Xenopus tropicalis: one gene and its partner. The protein of the gene in region 2 purifies or fractionates together with the protein of the main gene of each other region. This does not show direct contact. Links are inferred from orthologs where the notes say so. Each region holds a gene or a part of one and is shown on either strand. Other genes may lie near its edges. The genes, in order: flcn and fnip2.

Region 1 (4,253 bases), on a different chromosome or scaffold from region 2:
GGTACCTCCATATGTGGTGTATAACTGTGGCTTAGGTATAACTAAGGTAAATGGTACCTCCATATGTGGTGTAGAACTGTGGCTTATGTATAACCAAGGTTAATGGTACCTCCATATGTGGTGTATAACTGTGGCTTATGTATAACCAAGGTTAATGGTACCTCCATATGTGGTGTATAACTGTGGCTTATGTATAACTAAGGTTAATGGTACCTCCATATGTGGTGTATAACTATGGCTTATGGCACATGGGCCTTTTTGATTACCATGATTCATATGAATGGTGATTAAAAGGGTTGGATATGGTGGTGCATCCAAGGCAATACATCAATCGCTCAATACACTCTTGATGGCATTGGTTTAATATAACCATATCTGCCATTAACCACAGGCTAGAAAAACATGGGCAGCTTTCTCGTGGTCGGGCTGGCCCATTAGAGCACTGGGAGAAACCCCCAGTGGGCCCTGGACCTGTTGGGCCCACCGACACTGTGGTGTTTTTCTGGTGTATCGTTGGAGCGCTAGGGGACTAGAATGCACGGATGATTATATGCGGTTATTGGTAATTATCTGCGCTGATAGTGGTAACCAGTGTAAATACTGTTCCCCACTGAACTTACCTCACAACTCAGGCTGCGCACACAGGCCTGGCGCACAATGCTGAACAGCTGTGGGTGGTTGGGGTGTTGGTGGCTGACATATTTAATGGAAGTCTCTTTATCATGGCTGATGTACCCAGGATGCCCCGCAGCTAAGGACCTGCAACCCTGTGCAAAGAGAAAGGAGTCATATTAACTAACTGAACAGGAGTTCAGCCTGCTGTTGGTCACTCTCAGTAGAGGATTAATGGCTGCCATCCTTCTGATCTGGAATGAAAGGGAACAGGAAGAAGCAGATAGGATTTAACTTTCAAAACTGAGACCTCTCCCATTCAAATGGGCAGAGCTATGTGCTCCAAATTCCAGGAACACTTAGATCTTTAGGTTTCCAGGTACGGGGTCTAATACCTGTTTTCTTTTGGATTCTGCTCTCAAACAAACATAACAACACATATAAACGCTGAATTGCTCTTACCTCACACATATCCGACTTTTTGGGCCTGGGGCTGTTGGAGTCTGCACTTGCCCCCTCTGCAGGGCTGTGACATCGGATCCTGCTGCTCATCTGAATTCCCATCTCCTCATCTTCTGCTTGCTCTCCCTGCCCAATGCTGTCACCACAACTCGCCCCTTGGGGGTGCGGTGAATGAAGAGCCTCTGTGCAGAATAAAGTGCGGGGTCCATGGAGCTCACAGAAATGGCAGAGTGCCACAATGGCGTTCATGGTAATACCTGGAGATTCTTCAGCAGAAATACAAGTTCTATTTAAAACAAAAAGATGAGGATGTATAGTTAAGAAAGTTAGCAGTAAAGAGTAATCACACAATTGGTTGACAAAGCTAACTTTTAATCGGGCTGCTATTGGTTCTTTATAGGGACATTTCAACACAGACACAGTGGTGGATCCCCAAACACTTCATGGCAGACACTGTAGTGGCTTCCCAGCATTTCACCATAGACACAGTTTTGGCTCCCCAAACATTTCATGGCAAAAGCAGTGGCAACCCACACCCCAACAGTGCTCCCTGTCCTCTCATCTCCAGGGGGCTGTGCTCTATATAATGTGGGGGGTAATGTCACAGACTCATCTCACAAGGCTGGCCAACTGGCAATACAGGTAAATTTTTATTGGTTTTACAACATTACAAAACAAAAATACAAAACAGTGTTTAACATATTGACATTGGAATGGTGTCGAGTCAGGTTTAGGTCAATATAGACAAGGGTACTATTGCTAGGCATTGTAGTTGTCACAGTGTAGGTGGCTGTGTTTAGAGAGCCAAATTTTTTGCACTGGCTCACACGTGCATGAAACGAGTGAGCCTCCCCTGCACTGCATATCCCGCCCACGCCTGTGCCGTGTCTCCTGTAGCCCAAAGACCACCCCCTCCTGCTGATTTTTGCTACGGGCAATGAAATGCGATCACACTGTACGTGCAAGCCCGCACCTGGAAGAGCCAAATTCAAGGGGCTAAAGAGCCGCAGACTGCCCACCACTGGTCTTGTGGAAAGCAGTACAGCTGTGAGGTATGCTGACACCACAGGCACATTACATATAGTGAGAGGGAGTGGGTACTGACACCTCAGCCACATCATATACTGTAAGGCAGGGATCCCCAACCTTTATACTAGTGAGCCCCAGTCAAATGTAAAAAGACTTGGAGAGCAACACAAGCACCATAAAAGTTCATGGAGGTGCCAAATAAGGGCTAAGATTGGCTATTAGGGGCCTCTATGCACACTATCAGCTTACAGGGGCTTTATTTGGTAGGAAATCTTGTTTTTATTCAACCAAAACTTGCCCCCAAGTCAGGAATTCAAGGTTGGGGATCACTGCTGTAAGGCATAGTAGTTCCCAGCACCCCAATGTAATTAAAAGGCAGTAGAATATTAGGGTTAGTGTGCATTTGGCAGGATAAATGCTATACCAATTTCACTTATTATTCCCCCAGAAAACAGAGTGGGATAAACCCAGCTCCAAACTCATGTAGAATACCTAGGGTTGCCACCTGGCCAGTAAATATGAGGCTTGAAGCCAATGTTATTTATAGGAAGGCTGTTTTTTTTTCAGAAAAGATTGGCAACCCTAATAATACCCATAAGAATCTATGGTGGGTTAGATGCAATGATAACGTTATATATATGCCCTCAGTACATGTATTAGTATCAGTGTAGCCCCAACGGCAGGTACAATTCCCCCAACAAACGAATCAGAATGGAATTTATAATATTGTGCCATTGCCCGAGCCGAAAAGCCCCTACGGACCGGACCCTCATATACAGACCTGCCAGTCACGTCGCCATGTTTACATCACATGACAGGCGGAGACTTCCTTCTCTTTGGAAGATCGCATGTGCGGGAGTGGGGGGGGGAGCAGAAATGAATAATCCTGAGGCAGAGTCTTTGTAATATATATTAATAATAATTACGTCTTGAGGAGAAGGAACACGCAAGGGCTTTTTATGAGACGTGCACGGAATCAGTGATTAATGATTGGTTACGAAGGTGTGCACCCCTCTGGAGCAATGCCATGGTATGCTCCGGCCAGCAAGAGACTTGGCACAGTATCCCTCATGTGATGCTTGTCATGTGCTGCAGTTGGTCACTGCTCTGTCAGCGCCAAGCAACCCTATATCTTACTTACATATGGGTTAGCATAGGTATATCTGCCGGCCGGCACTAGTTCCCAGGGGCTTAGCCTCTCTGTCCCATGGAAATGTCTTTTTTAAATGTAAACTAGTTCACATAAATGTTAACATTAGATTGTGCCCTGAAATGCCTCTGTATCTGCTTAGAGCATAAGCAGCAAGTACTAAATGAAGAGGGGCTTATTACACAGGGCATCACCCTATTTCACCTCATTCCCTGTCACCAGTTCTGTTCCTCTATATTGTTGCTATTGGTGTCTAAATTCCCCTTCACTGAACAGGAGTGAAATACACTGGACTATATCCTAAGGGCTACTAAACTCCAGAAAATCCCCTGCCATAGACAATACTGAGAGTTACCTCTGCTAAAACACATGTAGAGTGTAAATGATCAGTAAATCATTAAATGATCAGAATTGTCTGTTTTAGTAGCCAGAACAAGTAGCTGCTACTAGTAGCTCTGTGTGTCTTCACCTTAAGGGCTGTGACACACGGGGAGATTAGTCGGCGCGCAACTAACCTTCCTTGTCGCGGGCGACTAATCTCCCTGAAATGCCATCCCACCGGCTAGAATGTAAATCGCCGGTGGGATGGCATGGCGATTTTGGCGCCGCGTATGCCATCCCACCAGCGATTTACATTCTAGCCGGTGGGATGGCATTTCGGGGAGATTAGTTGCCCGCGACAAGGACTAATCTCCCCATGTGCCATAGCCCAAAGAGCTGTGAGAGAGACAGTGATCAGAGACAGAGCCTAGCCATGTGACAGGCACACAGGACTGGATAAAGGATAGGTCACAAAGAAAGGTGGTAAAAAGAACATTTTCTAATTGGACTAATGATGTTAGTGGAGTACCTAATGACAGAATGTTATCACCCCCCATCAAAGTAAGTGTCAAGGTCCATTCCTACTGGCTTTACCTTATCTGCCCTGCCCACCGGCTATGGGTCCTCAGCCACAACTCTGCTTGCAGCAGAAGGTAGGGGCAGAAAAGTAAATCACCCC
Region 2 (3,827 bases):
TTCCCCATTCAAACAACTGCCTGGTTGCTAGGGTAAATTGAACCTTCACAACCCTTGCTGCTAAAACTCCAAACTGGAGAGTTGCTGAATATAAAGCTTAATCATTCAAAACCACAATAACTGTGTGAGTTATTTAATAAAGCTCACTTGAGATAAAATACCTCAACCAACAAGGTTTTTTTTTCCCCAAACCAAAAGGCGATCAGTTCTAAATATGCCCCTTTGCATGTTTGGTGCAGGTTATTCTAAGGCTGGGTATACACACATCGATATAATTGTACAAGTTTTGTATGATTTTTGGACCATGTGTAGGCTCCGAATCATCATCCCAGCAAATTTTGTACCATGGCGATCGTTTGTCGTAAGAAAACTAAAATCTGAACATATAGTCAGCTTTAGATGTCATGCTAACGTGTGGCAAAACAGGAGAACTCACCAGTTACTGCCAATAGATGTGCTATGACATGCGATCCAGCTCCGAATGGCATCACCAAGCCATCTGTTTGTCCTTTGCATGGAACACCATCAAGGCAGAGTTTGAAATATACGTCTTTTATTATTCACATTAAAAACATCAAAAACCTGGAGGTTTTACTGGCATCCCCCAATAACCACAAGCTTGATGCTACCAGTTACAGGCAATGTTCCCTCTAAGGTGCGCGCTCGTGCACACATACACAAGCTTTGAGACCAGTGCATACAAGTTGTGGTGCGCACAAAGAATTTTGTGTGAAAACACAGGATTTTGTATTTATTCTGACCTGCGCACACAGTTTTTAAAAATCAGCACACAAAATCTGTACAGGTATGGGACCTGTTATCCAGAATGCTTGGGACTTGGAGTTTTCCGGATAAGGGACCTTTCTGTAATTTGGGTCTCCATACCCTAAGTCTGCTAAAAATCATTTAAGCATTAAATAAACCCAAAAGATTTTTTTTACCTCTAATAAGGATTAATTATATCTTAGTTGTTATCAAGTACAAGGTACTGTTTTATTATTACAGAGAAAAGGGAAATCATTTTTAAAAATGTGAATTATTTGTTTATAATGGAGTTTATAGGAGATGGTCTTCCTGTAATTCAGTACTTTCTGGATAACTGGTTTCTGGATAAAGAATCCCATACCTGTACACAACTGTAAAGGAATTAAAGGAAATTCTACAGTGGATCGTAGAAAAGTTACATGTTAACCGTGCCACCACTTTTTATGGAATTGAATGTATATAGCCCTATTTTATTTAACATGTACTATGCTGTGCACACATCAGTCTAAAATACTAACTGGGGTAGGAAGAGTGAAATCGTGCCATGATACCTGTTAATAGGGCCAGCCATAGGCTTGTCAGGTAAGCAGATGTCCTGTCAGGCAGTCACAAGGGAATTGAGTGGCTAGCAGTGGCTTGGCAGCGGCTACCTCACACCACATGCTGTATATGCTGACAAGAGGTGAACAGGGCAGGGTGCAGAGAGCGCTGTATTGTGATACAAAGCACTGTACAAGTGCAGCCGTCAGTCTGCTCAGCAGCTTTTTTGATACGGGTGGGGAGGTAGATGTAGTCATCTGATAGTCTTGTGCTTTGGAATAAACTTCCCATGGAAATGAGAACATTTACTACTGCAGGGATAGTCTGGTGCAGTCTGTGGGGCCATGTCCAGAACTGGTGGGAAATGAGGCTGCTTCATACAAGGTAGTATTTGTTATTGTTTATTGTTATTTCATCATTATTTATAGGGCACAGCAAAGAATGACATTACTGCAGCATCCAAAATTATGGAAATAAAAAGAAAATAATAATAATAAAAAAATGTACACAGGTACTGCTAATGCCAGTAGCGTTTCCTAATACCTGTACTGTACTTGTCCAACTGAAAGAAATGACACTTGGTGACACTCCCTAGAGCTTGTGATCAAACAATTTTACAGTTTGGGGTACAGAAAGGTTTAGGTTTTTGGATATTCCATTCAGACCTCCCTGATTTATCCAAGTGATTTCACAACTGAGTTAATGTAGAGATGGCATTATTATGATTATAGAAATCAAGCAACTAAAATGTATTTGATTATTTTTTGTTTGGGGGGGGTCCTCTGCATATTCACAGCAGTAAAGCTGTTACTTCCCCTCGTACAGCTAGGTTTTAGTCGCAGTGGGAAACTATGTTTCTGCATGTGACAGCATTGCTAGGGATGTTTCACAATCCTTCTGAAATTGAAATATTTAATCATTTCTATACACCTTACTCACTCTGGTGTGATTCCCACTTTAACATGATTGCTGATATTAGTAGCTGCATTCTATAGCATTGGGTTTGTAGCTGTATTAAATATAGTCATATAGTTCTAAGCATTTTAAATTTAGCAATACCTACTGGCTTTTGTGTTTTACTTTCTATATGTTCTGTTTAAATTAAAAACCGTATAAGGAACATACTGTAAGACTGCTTGTTTGTGGTCATGTTTTTGCCATCATTTTGGATGCTATATATATGTATATAAGATATACATAATGAAACAAGTTATGGAACCTATCTTTTCCAAGTGTGTTCAGGTGAACACTAAATAAACGTCCTACCAATCCTTCTGGCCATGAATTTGCACCAGTATGGGGAATTCTATATCTCTGGGGGCTTTCTGTATCTGTTTTTATATATAATGCTGAAAACGGTCTAGTATTATCAGTGGATTTTGTTTTGTTTTTTTTTACTTTTTTGGCAGTGTGCTATGGTATTTGTTTAGAAGTAAAGACTTAATCATAAAATCTGTATGAGACATATGTAATAGGTTAGTGGTTCTTGTGACTGTGAATCTTATGTTAGAAATAGTCATGGGAGTCAGAAACCAGCTATGCTGCAGCCACAGACTTAAACATGGACATATGCTCTTTTCATCACTCAGCAGTTTTACAGAATCTCAACCTTGGTTCATATGTAGAGACGTGCCCAACACATTGTGACTATCGCTTTATCTATATTACTGTCCACAGCTGGCCTTGTACGGATTTCGACTTGAATTGCATCCGCCTGATTGTTTACCAAGACTGTGAGAGAAGAGGCAGGCAAGTTCTGTTTGATTCTAAAGCTGTCCGGGAAATCAGAAATGAAAGTACGCAGGTAAGACTTTCTACCCTACGATGTTAAATCCACAGTCGGACAGTATCAGGAGTGCCTTTGCCACAATTCTGTTTAGTTTTTTTCATGTTTATATCTTTATAGCTGCTGAAAAAGGAATATTGTTTTCCTCCATGTATGGATACAAATGTCTTGTCTTTCTGTAATTAATTAGGCTCATTTGCATCTGCAAGTGCAGTGAACAAAGTGTATTTTCAAGCACAATTGCCATGTTTTTTCCCCACAATGCACAGTTTTCACCCAGAGTCATTGTAATGATTGCAGGTGATTTTCTTCCCACAATTGTGCTATGTCTACCATGGTTGCATCTGATTTGCCAAAATGGACACAACTGTGCATACACTTTGTTGCAAATCCAACGCAGTTGTGCCAAATATTTTCTGTCTGGCCTAGCGTCATTTTGTGTACACCGCTTCTGGTTCTGTCTTGACACTCATGGCCCAATAGTTGTGAGGCAACCCCTCACGATTTACTTTATTGCTGGTGAGAAAGTATTTGGAGGAGAGTAGTTGCCCATTGTAGGGGAGATTTATCGCGGGTGACTAATCTTGAATGCCATGAGCCTAGGCCTAAAGCCGGACAAGGTGCTTCCAAATGTGTACGAGCAGGATTGGTGCTGTGTTTGCCATGCACCTGACTTAACCTAAATCTGGAACAGAGAGCAGATACCTGCATTTGCCCCATTAATAAAGTGTTGCTT

The links.
Region 1: the proteins of fnip2 (region 2) and flcn purify together in Homo sapiens (affinity purification with western blotting; 5 studies listed by BioGRID and IntAct, with this or other methods). This does not show direct contact. The link is inferred for Xenopus tropicalis from reciprocal best matches to the Homo sapiens genes FNIP2 and FLCN.

What each region holds. Positions count from the first base shown.
Region 1 is NC_030685.2:15,782,340-15,786,592, reverse strand, and holds the start of flcn (folliculin), read right to left. Parts: upstream 2,899-4,253; 5' UTR 2,885-2,898; intron 1,361-2,884; 5' UTR 1,324-1,360; coding exon 1,075-1,323; intron 768-1,074; coding exon 621-767; intron 1-620. UniProt on the Homo sapiens protein: Multi-functional protein, involved in both the cellular response to amino acid availability and in the regulation of glycolysis.
Region 2 is NC_030677.2:52,883,477-52,887,303, reverse strand, and holds part of fnip2 (folliculin-interacting protein 2), read left to right. Parts: intron 1-2,982; coding exon 2,983-3,109; intron 3,110-3,827.